3 linked regions of the Neodiprion lecontei genome follow. Each later gene encodes a partner of the first gene's protein in a complex. Links are inferred from orthologs where the notes say so. Each region holds a gene or a part of one and is shown in the gene's direction. Other genes may lie near its edges. The genes, in order: dynein regulatory complex subunit 3, dynein regulatory complex subunit 7-like and dynein regulatory complex protein 8-like.

What was found.
Region 2: dynein regulatory complex subunit 3 (region 1) and dynein regulatory complex subunit 7-like share a complex: the UniProt entries of both Homo sapiens proteins name them as parts of the nexin-dynein regulatory complex. The link is inferred for Neodiprion lecontei from reciprocal best matches to the Homo sapiens genes DRC3 and DRC7.
Region 3: dynein regulatory complex subunit 3 (region 1) and dynein regulatory complex protein 8-like share a complex: the UniProt entries of both Homo sapiens proteins name them as parts of the nexin-dynein regulatory complex. The link is inferred for Neodiprion lecontei from reciprocal best matches to the Homo sapiens genes DRC3 and DRC8.

The regions. Positions count from the first base shown.
Region 1 is NC_060263.1:21,534,849-21,541,581, forward strand, and holds dynein regulatory complex subunit 3, read left to right. Parts: upstream 1-1,656; 5' UTR 1,657-1,756; intron 1,757-1,775; exon of another isoform or gene 1,776-2,278; intron 2,279-2,367; 5' UTR 2,368-2,382; coding exon 2,383-2,560; intron 2,561-2,781; coding exon 2,782-3,065; intron 3,066-3,298; coding exon 3,299-3,471; intron 3,472-3,703; coding exon 3,704-3,861; intron 3,862-4,309; coding exon 4,310-4,502; intron 4,503-4,752; coding exon 4,753-4,960; intron 4,961-5,242; coding exon 5,243-5,497; intron 5,498-5,663; coding exon 5,664-5,740; intron 5,741-5,908; coding exon 5,909-6,056; 3' UTR 6,057-6,129; downstream 6,130-6,733. Other genes in the region: TOM1-like protein 2, read right to left, coding at 419-588, 1,343-1,400; enoyl-CoA delta isomerase 1, mitochondrial, read right to left, coding at 6,347-6,507, 6,728-6,733. UniProt on the Homo sapiens protein: Component of the nexin-dynein regulatory complex (N-DRC) a key regulator of ciliary/flagellar motility which maintains the alignment and integrity of the distal axoneme and regulates microtubule sliding in motile axonemes.
Region 2 is NC_060266.1:422,655-427,654, forward strand, and holds the start of dynein regulatory complex subunit 7-like, read left to right. Parts: upstream 1-1,956; 5' UTR 1,957-1,962; coding exon 1,963-1,974; intron 1,975-4,987; exon of another isoform or gene 4,988-5,000. UniProt on the Homo sapiens protein: Component of the nexin-dynein regulatory complex (N-DRC) a key regulator of ciliary/flagellar motility which maintains the alignment and integrity of the distal axoneme and regulates microtubule sliding in motile axonemes.
Region 3 is NC_060266.1:25,923,624-25,927,233, forward strand, and holds dynein regulatory complex protein 8-like, read left to right. Parts: upstream 1-1,924; 5' UTR 1,925-1,961; coding exon 1,962-2,040; intron 2,041-2,230; coding exon 2,231-2,338; intron 2,339-2,438; coding exon 2,439-2,559; intron 2,560-2,656; coding exon 2,657-2,867; intron 2,868-2,974; coding exon 2,975-3,097; downstream 3,098-3,610. Other genes in the region: heterogeneous nuclear ribonucleoprotein U-like protein 1, read right to left, coding at 37-1,028, 1,327-1,459; delta(3,5)-Delta(2,4)-dienoyl-CoA isomerase, mitochondrial, read right to left, coding at 3,431-3,532. UniProt on the Homo sapiens protein: Component of the nexin-dynein regulatory complex (N-DRC), a key regulator of ciliary/flagellar motility which maintains the alignment and integrity of the distal axoneme and regulates microtubule sliding in motile axonemes.

The DNA.
Region 1 (6,733 bases):
TTGGAAGAAACTGTTGTTGCTATTGCTGTTCAAAAATATTTCATCTTCTACCACATAGAATAAAATATAATGCTTAAAACCTATAGGGGTGAATAATAATTACGTGCATGTTGGTAATTATGTTCAAGCCAGTGGTCAAAATTAGCTGCTATGCATACTAATGTTAGTTGAAAAAGATCATCAAAGCAAAATGATGTGAAGGCTCAGAATTCAAAATTTCTTCAAATCTCTAGAAAGTTTAATACATTTACAGAATCATAAGTATTGAATTGTACTACAGAACTCCATTTGGAAAAAGTTGAGTATGTTGAGTGACTAACTGGAACCACTAGGTTCAGCTTCATGACATTGTGCTGTTAAGGGAAAGAAAACTCTGTTTTTGCCCATAGCAGACAAATTAGAAGGACCAAATACTAACAGTGAGAGTGTACATAACGATGGTATAGTTCTTTCCAGCTGCTTGATTCAATCGCCGTCGAATAGCTTTAACTGCATCCCGAGGTCCGTCTTCAGTTTCGTTAATGATATCGCATATTTCCATATTAAGTGCCCAATTCTCACTTGGCAGGCTTCCATCTGTAGCTTGTTCTGCAATTTTATATCACAATGTCTCAATTATTCCAGTACACGTTGAGTTACAGTAACAGCGCATAATTGGTTCAATTTGTAGACATCATTTATATTCCTACTGCCACGCAGGCTGCGACATGCGAGTAAAAAATTTCAGCGAGTGGATTTTTTTGCAGATTTTTTGAATTCACTGAGAATAAGTTTCATCTAAAAATAGAATATAAACCTGTTAACAAGATCTAGTTTCAAGTGAATTGGATTCTATGGCAAGTGCCCATTAACAGACAATGATACAAGGTAATTTAATTATATTTTCAAGGAAATATAATTACTAATATAATTGCACCATTATTCAGAGGAATATTATTGCAAAAATTGTGATAAGTTTCCATCAGTTCACACCTTTGAAGCAGCTCAGTAAGAAAATATAGACAATAATAATTTACGCTAATTAAACGTTCCGCTTATGCTCCTGATAATTGACTACATAATTAGTGCACCTCAATGTTCATTAGTAAATCTAAGGTAACCAGAGGAAGAAGGGAATATAAAAAATAAAGAAAGAAAGGAAAGCTAAGGAGTGCTACAACAATGTGGTGCAGAAAATAATCAATAAAACAAAACAACTAAAAAAAATCGCGACACGCCAAGACAATAGTATTGAACGTTTACGTAATAATGCAGTAAGTAACCAATTAGGCGAATGAATATATGGTCAAAACAACAATGGCATGGAAAAAGCTAGGCTTATACGACGAACTATGAATCTCACCTATTCTCTGACCAACTGGCGTCGAAAATGGATTCACAGGTACACCGAAAAAAGACATTTTTTGTTCCTTTTATACCGTATTTGGATGTTAGAACTTTGCACACTGCCTCTCGGCTTACTGCCGCATAAGTAAGTAGCCTGACGGTAAATTTATCGGCAAATTGTTGTCGGACAGTAACAGTTTATCAAATTTTCACTCTCCCGATGTGTCACGTAGAGATAATCATATGACACCGTGGTAATGGAGTACTGCGCCTAGACGTCAAATCATGTTTTCCCCGACCAATGGTACTCCATTTTCCGTGACGCAGCTGCACTGGCTTCGCTAAATGACCGCCTATTGGCTCAAAAATCAAAATGGCCGCCTCGATTGAATGCTTGCTACGCATATTCAAACGCCTCGGAAGACGAGGCGTAAGTAATGCCTATAGTCAACATCGTTCGGATAATGAGTGTAATGAACTGGGATTCGTCAATTGCGTCTATATTTATTACGACAATTTCTTATTTTTAATATACATTTTGCCTGAAAACTGAGGCGTGATGCCATATTTACGATCGGATTTTCAAATCGGAGCAAAGTTTGAAATTCAACAATCACGAATTTTTATAATCTCATTTTCAAAGTTTTCGAATTCGATCATGCGAAAAAAAATGCTTTATCATTAAAATCTAATTGCTTTTAATTCGATTTAGTCTTGAATGTGCATTTTGTAACGTGGCAAAAACAAAGAATCGATATAGTAATGTTCAATGAGTCATGTCATCAGGCTCATTGCGACGAAAGTATAAATATCTATATCGCTATGGAAACGGGAAACTATTTTGTTGATATGAATACCAAGCAAATGTGAATTCTAAGGTTAAATTTTACATCAGACCATCCCACATTTTGAACTAGCTGATACGTGAATTTTGAATGCTAAAATTATTCACGTGAGTTAACGTTTCGTACAACTGCATACACCAGTTTCTTCATCGTTGTATTTCATTTAAACATACAAAATACAACGAAGAGTTTTTAGAACGCAGTATAAATTATGAAGACTGAAGACAAACCGATAATATTGCAAGAATCCGCAGAACCTGGGGTGATAGACCAAAAAATGCTCGTGGCTTTAATAATTGACCAAGGGCCAAAAAAGGAAGCTGGAAGATTGTTCGTAGAGGATGGGATAAACCTGGAAGAAGTGACAGAAATTCGAATCGAATTTCTTAGTAAGAAACCTATGGATATTATGTGGGATCCAACACGGGCGCGGTAGGGTGTCGAAAAAAAATTAATAAACGTCGATGGTCTTACATCGAGTGTACGAATATGAAGACTCGGAAAACTTCGTGCTAGCTGTTAAATTGTTTTTTTTTTTTTTGTAATGTAGTGTCGAATCCTATTTCAGAACAAAATAGTTCCTTATACTCATTACTTTTATCTTTTTTAGATATTTTAAATATAGACCACCTATGGTTAATGCCAAACTTGGTGAAATTAAAACTGAGCAACAACAAAATTGAAAGGATTGTTAACTTGGATGTCCTGATTAATTTAAAAGAGCTTGATCTGTCGTTCAACCATATCGAAACTATGGAGAATTTGAACCATTTGAAATGTTTGGAAATTTTATTGCTGTATGAGAATCAAATTAGTCTTATTCAGGGAATCGACGATTTGAATGAACTTACAATTTTCAGTATTGGAAATAACAATATTGCCGATTGGCATCATGTAATTCATTATTCTTCTACATAAGTTCTAATTTCGCATCATGTGTGTTATTGTTATTATTGTTATTTTTTTTTAACTTAGTCAATTATCACCTAGAAATTCTTATACTTTTTCAATCATTGAATCAACCAATCTTAAATTATCGCACTGTAATTAAATTATTATTGATAGCTATATGTAGGGCTCCAATTTGCTTAAATTTCATGGTCAGCATAATTGCTAAATTTTTACAGGTCATGTATTTACGGAAATTCAAAAAATTACGGAGTTTAAATGTCTCTGGAAATTCGTGCATGGAAAAAGAAGGATATTTGAACTATTTGATTGCCTTTATACCACAATTAATCTATCTTCAGTACAAAATGATAACGGACCGAGAACGCCAGGCTGCCGCTGATGAACATTAGTAAATTTCATATTTCCCGTAAATCGACAGAGTTAGATTGATTTGTAAAAATCCACTCATGCTCATAATTTAGAGTATTTTTAATACCGCCAGATATTGCAGGCCATCATGGGATATAAATATTATAGTAAAAGAATTGCAGGAAGAAATTAATAATGCATTGTTCAAGTTTTATCCTAGATGCGTTTAAACAGAATTAATGATAATCAGTTTGTATACTTAAATGTTTTAGTCGAATCATTAGTAATTTGTTGGAAGAAGAAGCTAAAGAACAAGAAAAGTTGGACAAGCAAGCAGCATTTGAGGAAAATGTTGCATTATTATCCATATCTTACGTGGAATATCTCGATGACGACTACTTGTTCAATAAAATGTTTGAAAAAGACAAGGGTAATTATGAAAGAAAGAAAATTTTCTCTTTTAATTCTTTTTGCTTTTATCAACAATATCTTAAATATTATTCTCTTTATCTTAAGACATCAATACTTTCTATTTGGCATCAAACTACGCTTATTCGTCTGGGATACGATTTTTTTTTTCGTTAATCTAGCCCTACTGGAAAAGTTTGAGAGGATTTGTAAGATTCTAATAGAATATTATAGAATGGATTTCAGAAACACCATAGACTTATCACTGTGTATCGTGTTTGTGGCTCGTATTCTATGATATTCTTTAATATCTAATCGTGATCTATCAATGCCTATCAGGCTTTTCAAGCAGAAAAATATTCAATAAATAAAATTTCCGTCTTAAGTGTGAATTTTACCATAATATTTGAAAATTGAATGTCTGAAAATATGTAAAATTCACATTTTGATTCAGAAATACTTCATTACAGAAGGTAACGACTTCTTAACACTCAGCGAAGATGCACGATCTGCATATGCGGAGTATAAAGTAAAGTTCATGGAACTTTGCAAAGATTTGTATGAACTGGGGCTAGCTGAACAAATCCGAAGGTCCAACGAAATAAAAATGTTTGAAGATTTAGTCACTAAAGGTGAAGACGACATTCAGAAAGATTCCCAAATGTAAGTACCAGATATACCTTACATAATTCATATAATAATAATATGAATATAAAGTGTATAATCGCAAATGTCAATAATTAGTAAAAATAAATCACAGATTTCGTCAATTATTCATACTATTAAAACAATTTCACAATAAATGAGACTTTCATTAAATTACAAGTATAAATACACAAAAAAATGCTAATCATATTCTTCGGACAAATAAATTTATTAGCATTTCTTTCAATTGAAATTTTTTTGTATAAAGGATGATGGATGAAATAATGGATAGAAAGGCTGAAATCTTAGCAGACGTAAAAGCACTTATGCAATCAATGACTGAAGAGTTGGAGACTGAAGTTCTCGAAGAAAAATTAGACAAAGCTCGTCAGCTGTCCGAAGAATTCAGTGACTTGGTGGCTAGAACCTGGACAAAGCTCATGCACAAGGAAGTGATTCTTCATGACCAAATGGAAGTGTGTATCCATTTATTTATCACTGGTGTTGAATGAATTACTGGTATTCCTTTCAGCTATTCATATAGTTTCACACAAGGCAAAGTTAGTCATACATGATAAACATTTGATTTGGATTGCACAAGTAATCAGAGTTCTCCAAATACCTCCTATTGCTTAATAAAACTAATATTGACCGAGCAAATCAATTAGACACACTTGCGACGTTTGACCTGCAGCTTTTTATAAGTATTGATTGCAACAAATACTGATAATTATATATTAACAATGACATATCTGCAGGATATAAACGAAGTGTTCAAACAGCATATGACAGATATGGTTGGATCGTTCTTAGAAGCAGCCCAGAATATATTCTCATTAATGAGAAATCTGGAAGCCGAATATACCGACAACATTGCTGGAATAGCTAGTGTTGTTATGAATACAAGTCAGGCTACGGAAGATAGTAAAATGTCACCTAGTGTAACGGATATAATCGGTGATAAGGACATTTTGAATAACAATTTGGCAGCATCCCATGATCTACATCTCCAGGTATGCTTATATGCTTATTTGAGTGCACGAATAAATATTAAGCTATTTAAAATCAACAAATGTCGTTTTTCATCGCTTACGTTTTTCGAGCAGTTGCATAATGATCAAAACAACATGATAAATGACATGGGCTCTCATAAAATTCTTTTAAATTCTGCTTATTCAGATCATCGATGGGCGTGAAGATCGTCTAACAAGTCGACTTAATGGTTGGCTTGAAGGGAAGATTGAAAAATTGGCAGAGTAAGTAGCAGCATAACTATTGAGATAATTTAAACCACAAATATCCAAGATACACGAGATCTGTCTCGTTTTTAAAATAGACTGTAGACTGTAGAATTTGTGACCTATATTTTTCGAGTAGTAACCATATTAGTAAAGTCGAGGTGGTCTTCGTTTTTCTGTTTTAAGGAATGAAAGTAACCGGAACCGTCAGAAGATACTAGAAATTTCCCATTTTCTTGAGTGTCAACGGGAAGAATTTGATGCACTACAATTACAGCAGCCGTTATACGTGAACACTGACGATCCAGATATTGCTGCAGTACTTGAGCAATAAAACATAAAGCAACTGATTTCTTATAAAGCCAGTTTGTTTCATAATACTGTGAACAAAATGAATTAAATGTATAAACAATAAACGTTTTATCCATTCCTACTGTTTATTAGTACCTATTTCAAATATAACATACTCAAAAAAATTCACGGTAAATAAATTCATATCAAAATATTTTTATTTCTTATCTGCATTGTAAAGTAGAAAAATCTATTGTATTCGCCATATATCACAGCTCTGTCAGGTGGGGGCTGTTATGGCATGACGTATCGTTACTGTTAGCTTCAGCGGTTTCACTTCTTTTTTAAGCTCTGGATGTACATATCCAAACCCTTTTGTACCTGTGGTTGCTCTAAGAAGCCAATGAATATTTTCACATCAAAATCTCTATTTTTTTCAAGCCATGAGAGTGCTGACTTCCTTAACTGATGCTTCGTTGCGGACCTTGCACCAGCTGCAGAACAAAATTTGTATTAGAATATCTGTATTCTAAAATAATACAGTTAATATTATCACACAGAATACCGAGACTTAAAGATTTTCACATTGTATTTGATTTTGCAATGATATCTTCATAATGCATACATAATATATACATATGTTCTAAGCATGTAATGCCACTGATCTATTGTAATAATGTTAAAAGATTATCACATTTATCACATAATACTCACGTGATA
Region 2 (5,000 bases), on another chromosome or scaffold:
CTTTCGTGGAAAATTTGGCTCCCAAGGCCCTGTAAGCGTACGGCGCCGTAGCGTCGCTTTCCTGACCACCTCGTGTTCGAGAAATTTTTGGGATAATTAAACGGCATACGCGGGCAAGCGAACGGTTTCCGATAATAGGTTCGCTCGATTAGGCGAAGGAAAAAAAAAATACTAACGTACTATGACGATACGGCTATTTTTTCAACTTTCCCAATTCAGAACCATAAACGCGACGAAGGTAAGTAAGTATAGCTCCTCTAGTCTACATTGTACACTATACGCGTATACGCGTTCCTGTAGGATACATTGTAGAAAATTGCTTCTCTTCAACGAAGCGTATGCCTGATCGTATTATCGACTATATAACTTGATTTCGCCGTCGACTGATTGTGACTGACAAAATTTTGGCATCGATATAACCCATCACTTCGCTCCGGACAGTGTTTGCATATCACACCTTTGGACAGTTACACCGATATCCGGTTGATTTTAAATTAATGGATCCTACGTGTATTTAGATCTGCGAATAAAATTTGCATACACGTCGCGATTCTATCGCTGTCGAATTTCTCGCATGAAAATGCGTTTCATTTCAACAGTATGTAACATGGTACGTGTGGGTGCGGGCATTAAATACGAGCATCTGCGCGATTGTGTTCGTAAAGTGGCGAGGATCCGTCAATTTCTCATGTTATTCTTTACACTAGTGCTACGCTATTGTACGGAACGGACGTAATGACGATACGTAGTTGCGGATTCGAATATTTGCGTTAATGGATTGTCAAAGACTGCAGGCTTTCGATATCTCGCCGATCTACCCACACGTTTATAAATATATAACATGTGCGGTGTGTGCGCACTCGTCCTACGCACATACATACGCTGCTGCATAACTATACCTTCGTACAAACCATGTGCATACGGGGACGAGAACCACGGTAGTAAGGGGGAAGATAGGGGGGGGGGGCTACAGCCCAGCCAGCCGTCCTGGATGACAGACAGGATGCGAGGGTTCGCGATTCCGCGCGCCTTTCGGTGTGCCCGGCATTACGTGCTTCGGTGGCTCTGCCCGCGCTGCAGCTACGGCAGCGAGCGTCGGCGACGTCGTCGAGACATTTACCGGCGATCCGGCGACGATGACGCGACATTCCACCACTGCATACGAATTATGTACTACTTAACGTATTATATACCATATACGTTATATCATGTATATCTGCATATATAACCGATATATAGTATATACATACGTGTATATGAGCCGGAGACCTAGGCTCGGCGAAGAACGTACACCTACGGTATTGAATTCTGACCGCTTCAAGGCCACCCGTGTCGCGTGCTTCGCGGGTCAAATAAATGGTAGCAGAGCCCTGTAAAACGGTCGTAATCAAACACCGTGGCTGTACGTACGTACGCGTTAACGTACAACGCGCACGTTGTACATATGCTCGCGCAAAGATGCGAGAGCCTTTGTGAGATCGGGAAGCAGAGGCAACAGCTGCGACACTTGGTTCACTCGCGAGACCCGCATGATGCACCGTCGTCGCCGCGATGTATCCTGCAGGCTCTAAAAGCCGCAGAGACCCGACGGTCTTACCCACGTAGCATATAGCCGCATATACCTCCTCTTTCCTTCACCCCCAACCTCTCTCTTTCTCTCTCTCTCTCTCTCTCTCTCTCTCTCTCTCTCTCTCTCTCTCTCTCTTTCTCTTTCTATGTATACATATACCATTCGCACGAAATTTTCATGGTCAAAACCCACCCGCGCGGTCCTTCGGGGCTGCAGTAAACGGTTCCGCGTATTCCTACTGCTTCTAAGTCGCTAAGGTATAGGATGTACGGATAAGGTATATTAGGTAGTAGGTAGTAGGTAGTCGGGTACAGGCCGCAATATTCAACGGTCAATTCTATTTTAAGCTTAGTTGGGTGTGCGGCGGGCCAAGCATGTAGCTTCGGTACGCAATGCTGAAGTCGGTGAATGTCTCCATCTCTATCCTCCCGCTCATTTTCCATGTTCACCACACCTTCGATCCTTACCGGAGTATAAAGCATTGCTAAAGCAGCGCGGACGGATGGATACGATCTATCATCAGACATTCGAAGTAGATTCAGAACAATGTAAAGGAATAATCATTAGCTTGGTTGTTATCTTGGAAATGCAGGTCAAATTTTTTGAAACAAAATTTTAATGTTCACCTTCCGGCCCGAATGGGGTCCTTCCCGGAACGAATTATTTTGTCGAAATGTGTTCAATAAAGGAGTAATAAACAAGAGTTTACTTACATATCGTTAAGGCCAACAGGCCATTTCAGGCAATAATCATTATTGTACGCTGCAAGATACATTCGATCGCTAATTATGCGACCCGGCGAATGTTTGCCGAGCTTTGGTCCGTACCGGGACACGCTCTTGACCGATGAAAATCTATGCAAGAGAAAAATTTGTTGCTCTACAAATCATCCGCTCCATATTCACGGCCGAAAAGCTATTATTAAATGAAATCTATTGATAATGTGTGGTACGGTGCTTAGGCTCCGATTCCAATCAGTCGGTAGAGAGGGGAACGCGCAAGTTGTATCGCGTCCGGCCGTGTCGCATGCGTGCGTACGTACATAGGTACATCGTAATTGCATACGTCACATGATGCCCTGCTTAGCAGTGGTGTATTATTTTCGGCTACGTAAACTCGCGGTGTACTTCCTTACACGCGCGCTGCAGTTGTGTACAATCGGTGCGTCGGCGCTCCGGACCAACCCCAACGTGTAGACGAGAATGAGAGAAAGAGACAGCGAGTGAGAGAGAGAGAGAGAGAGAGAGAGAGAGAGAGAGAGAGAGAGAGAGATGTACAGTGGCAGTGAGTCTTGGCGCGAAACGTGAATTTGAATTTTGTAACGGAAATTCAATATTTTCCGCATGGGTTTGAGCATCGGCGTACCTCCTGCGTCATCATCAGCCGATTGACTGTCCTGTATGCGTAGTCGAACGTAAAGATGGTTAATTCCCGAATCAATCGATGATTATGAGATACGCATAACCTGATGGAAATTTGTATAATTGTGACGCATGTGTGCTCAGCACGAGGGGACGATAAGACATTCTTCGCAATCCATAGTCACACACGGATCTTCTCGATAATACGACATCTCTAAGTATGCATATAGTTGTGTGACAAACGAGAAATGGGTTACACGGCGGCGTGATACACAACGTAGTACGCTACGGTAGTTCCTAGGCATGCCGTGCGTGCAAGCGCGTATCGGTACGCCCATGGAGCAATGCGTAGGAATTTGCGGCTCTTGGAAGGTTCGTGTTTACTTTTGCAGAGATAAAAGGAGACCCTTAACCCTGCGGGTGACGGACGAGCCGACGGTCTTGCGGGCACGACGAGCCGGCGGGCGGATTATCGGACGGACCGACGGATCGTCAGACAAAAGGACAGGCCCAGGAGGCGACGGGAGGACGAAGGGTGGTCGCGGACAGGCTGGCAGGCTGGCAGGCAGGCGGGCGGGCGGGCAGGCAGGCATGGCAGGCAGGCAAGCAGGCAGGCTGGCAACAGGAAGCTCGCGATGCGTGACTCACCGCGAGCCAGCCGAACAACGTAGAGAACTAAACCGCGCGCGATCGCTCGCGTTCTCTCCGCGTGTTCGTTTCTTCGTACGGTACCCCCGTCAACCTGGGAATATCGTACGAACGTACGCGTGCATGTACGCAACCGTGGATGCCCATACATACTTAGGGTCTTCCCGGCCGCGGAGGGAATATAGTATATCGCGAGCGATTCGAGGTTGCCGCCGAGGCGTTTATTGGCGGCTGCTCCTGCGTCTATACGCACACGCGCGCACACGCATACTTGCGTTGTACGTACGCACCTTACGTACCTATGGCATAGACTTATTTGTCTGATCAGATTCGCGCGAGGCCGCGGTGAGGCGGTTTAAATCCGACTTGCGCGCACGACGGAGTCGCGCGACCAAATTGCGAGGTGGACGGCGATCGGGCAAAAACTGCGTCGAGGTGAGGACGGAGGGTAGAGGGGGCCGACCTTCCCGTCCGTCTCGCGAGAAGACCCGCGACCTCGCCATCAAGTAATCAACGCAACGGCACGCGGTCTCGACGCCCATGCTCCCCCTCATTGTACATATACACACTTTATCTATCTATAGTCGTATATGAATTGCAGGGATCGTAAATACGCGTTATAAGTCTGTACCTACGTGTCTACGTACATTTACGTGTACGTCCATACCTACATAATATATGTATTAACATTATATGCGGGTCATACGTTGTATTTATCGGTACCGCGTATGCGCGTCGACGTGTGATGAGAAAGAGCGGATCTAAGCAGCCACCTTAACAAAATCACGGCAAAGTACAGTAGTTTTCCAATCGTTTGCGTCGATTTAAACGTTCAGAGTTAGATTACCATCTAATCGGTGTACTGTGTTTACGCTATCAATTATCAATTTCACCTTCTTCCGTAAATGGTTCCCCTTTAGCTAACCCCTCACTTTTTATCCAAGAGAGAGAGAGAGAGAGAGAGAGAGAGAGAGAGAGAGAGAGAGAGAGAGAGAGAGAGAGAGAGAGAGAGAGAGAGAGAGAGAGAGAGAGAGAGAGAGAGAGAGAGAGAGAGAGAGAGAGAGAGAGGTTCGTTTAGACCCACTCTGCCCTACGCCGCGTACATACAAGGCATGAAAAAACACCGAGTTTGATCCAAGGCAACGTATGTATGGTACATTATACCTACCTATATATACACTCGAGGCGCAAATAGGGAATATAGTTGAAGAGAATATCGCGCGAGTGTAGAGCTAGCGAGAGGAGACGCTGCTTCTCTCACCTCGGGGCAAAATTTGTGCGCGTTCCAACGCGACCGAGTGAATTTAGGGTGGGCACATCTATACATGGGTGTGTGTGTGTGTGTGCGTGTGTGTGTACCGTCGACTAATAACAAGGGCGGCGCGAGGGGGCGGCCGGGGGACGGAAAGGCGGTGACCCGC
Region 3 (3,610 bases), on another chromosome or scaffold:
TCGTAAGCACTACAAGAAAAAGCAAACGATACTTACCTGTTCTTCTCGTTTCACCGTCCTTTCGTCGTAGTCATAGTATTCAATTTTTTCTTTGTTATCTTCAGGTATATTTTCTTCCGGATCCTCTTCCCCTGGAACAGTTGGTTCCAAGTTTACTGTTTTAGAAATGACATTCTTTTCATCTTGTTCAGATTCCTCCTGGATTTGGACAGATTCAATTGAATCTTTTGTATCATTCTCTTCCTTGTTGGACACCCTGTCATCCACATCTTCTTCCTTCGATTCTTCTTCATTGTTCATTTCATCATCTTTAGCCATTTCTTCCTTGACAGGATCAAGATTCTCATCATTTTGGTTTGCAGATTCAACTGGTTCAAGTTTTTCTAGTGGTTCGGAGCTATGTGAAACTTTGGTTTCTGGAGGCGTTTCCTCAACAAATTCTTCTTGTGGCTGCTGTTCCATTACGGTAGTCGAATGCTCTTCTGTTTTTTCAGGCACATTCACTTGTTGTTCTGTAGCGGTTTTCGTGAAATCAGATTGTACTTCAAATTGTGAAACAGGTTCTTCCATTTGCTGCGGACTCTCCTCCACACTTGCGAGAACGGATTCGACATGTTCTTCAGGCTGCGGCTCTATCTTCTCAGGGCTAACTGTATGTGATTCTTTCACTGGTGATCTTGTGGAGGGATCTGTAATATTTTCAGGCGTTGCAACTCGAGGAGGGACCTCAGGTTCGCGCGCATCTGGCTCGGGAGCTGGTTCCTCAGGTACAGGGGAAGGCTTCCTCTGTTCTTCCGGTGGTGGAGCTTTGGCTGGAGAAGGCGATTGTTTCGCCCTCGCAGCTGCTCTCGAAGGTGTTTTGGAAGGGCTGGTAGCTGAAGCGCTGCGAGCAGATCGCCCCCCGGGTGTTTTAGCGGTTGGTGAGGGTTTTGCAGGTTCCGGCTCTGGCGACTGCTCGTGTGGTTGTGCCTCCCTGGTATCCACACCTACCTCATCGTTCGACTCAGGGATCGTCGTTTCTTCGACTTCTAAATGAATGAAAAGTAACAAATAACACTGGAGCATACATAATTGAATTTGAGATTGTTGCGTTTCCTGATAATAAGTAAAATGGAAATCAGATGCATAAAAAATCACGGCGTCCTGAGGTAAGGAAGACAGGTTGGAAATAGGTTGGGATATCGGGGTGTTCCAATCGAGGAGTAAACAGTTTTCCGGCGCCAGTGACTAGACTGTATTAGACGCCGTGTTTGGACGCAATTTAAGCGGGAAACTACTGGGATAAGCAGTAACGCCTAGTGAGCGGTAAGCCGAATGTTTTCTTACGGTCTTCGGCTTCTTCGTCCTCCAAAGCCTTGCGGAGTCGCTCGACGAGGACAGCTTTATTTCCTTTGGTATCGAGACCGCGATGAGAGAGCTCTGCCCGCAGCTCGACCACTTTCAGCTTCGCGGGATCCATGGCGATGGATTTATTTATTTTACAAACAACCGCACAATATTTACTCGATCGAAAATGCTTTCAGGAATGAGCCATACACGCGACGGTGACCCGCGCTGCGCTCGCAATATGGCGGCGACATTGCAAACAATACGCGGAGTGATACGGCATATCCGATTGGCTCGTCGGACGCGAATTCGAAACGACGCCATTGCGACAGTCAATCAAACTTACTCTTTCATTTGACATATACCGACGAAAAGCGATCCGATTGGCCAAAGTAGGGATGTTTCGGGCGGCGGTAATTATGAACTGGCTTACAGCACACCCCGTGCAATTTTTTTTTTAGTTAATCTTCACACCCTAAATGTTCGTTCAGTTGTCGATGATGACATCCGCGGGATAAGAGCGCGAAAAAATACGTAATGAAATGAATTCTTTTCGCGATATCTTCTTTCCGTAATACACACACCATCGCGGTAACTCGCAGTAACGGTCTTAGGGGTGATTTTATTTGGTCAATATGGCGCAAGAACGAAATAGCGAGGTACGCCGCAGAAGTTCAGTAATGAAACGGGGATTGTCTTTATCAAGTTCGGAGGGTATCTTCTGTTCTTAAAGCTTAATTTTTTATCCCTTTGCATTAGCGTTCACATAATCGCATCGTCGGTCACGATTTTAGATTATGTTTTACGCTGATGCAATTCTTCTAACAGTCATTTCTGGTTATCGCACCTAAATCTAAATTTAACATTCAGAGTGGTGAATAACACAAGCTTATTTCACTAAAAGGGCCGAATCTATTGGAAAAACTGATACACAATGCATTTGACGTCTTTGACACTGCCAAAATCCAAGAAGTGGATGTCAGAGACTTGGGAACAATGATACGATCGCTAGGTAAGCACTAAAAGGGGAATACTCTTCAAACTAGAATGTAGCAAGTCTGAAACTGTCCTTCCTTGCATTTTTGACTGAAATTTATTTGCCTGGGTTACAGGATGTGTTATGACTGAGGCAGAATTGCAGGAAATTCAAGTTCAGTTGGAGGATGTGGAAAATAATTCCGTTTCACAATCCAGATTTGTAGAATATATGACTAAAACCATTAACGAACACAAGTGAGTCTGACTCTCTCCGCATACGTTGATCCAAGTATCATTGTCAGCAAGTAAGAGTCATGAATACCAAGTAGCAATTATGGAAAATTATCCTCAGATTAAAGCCAGCAGAACCTGAGGAATTATTGAAAGCATTCCAGCTATTTGATCCTGAAAACCACGGTTATATTATGAGAGATGATTTGGCAAAAGCACTGATGGAACTGGGAGAGCCTTTTACTCAAGATGAAGTAAACGAGATGATGTTTGTAGCTTGTGACCCCGCAACGAATAGAATCAACTATGAACACTTTATCAATCTGCTTATTGTGAGTATAGCTCGAGATTCAAAACATAATCCATGTAAAAGATCAGATTCAACGATTCTGTCCTTCTACCCGTTACATACAGAATTTCTGGTTTTTTCCCTGCATAGTTAAAATATCCGGATGATACCAATCCTTATAAAGTTGCCGATAAAATTGAGGCTGATCGGCTTGCGGCCATGCCTAAGAAACGAGGTTTGGGCAGCCTTATTGATGCCTCGGTACCTCATTGACACTGTCAAAATTATGAACAAAAGAAAATTAAACATAGTTTGTCCGTGAAATTCTCAAGTACATACAATATTACTATTTTTATAGTCACTGTGTAATAGCTAGACTATAATTACATTCTCAATGTACTTTTTGAGTATTGAAATCGATTTATTACCAAAAATAATTGATGTCCAATTGTAAGACTGATACTGCGATTTACGGATATGCAGTGATAAAAATATTGGCTATTAAACAGTCAAGTTCCCTAATTTATCTTTGTTTACATTGGTCATAGTTACAGAAAAACAGGTAGTCGGAACCTGATTTCGCTGACAAATAGTGGTCTCTATCCTTCACAGTTTGGAGAACACAGGCGCTTCCCCACTCTTGCTCACCTGTGCCATGACAGAGTTAGCAAGATCCTCACTTTGCAACATTACTTGATTGTACATGAGCTGAAAGCAGAAACCAAAATTACTAACAATAATTATAACTATCATTAATAACGATCATTAAGTACTCAGTTACTCAAA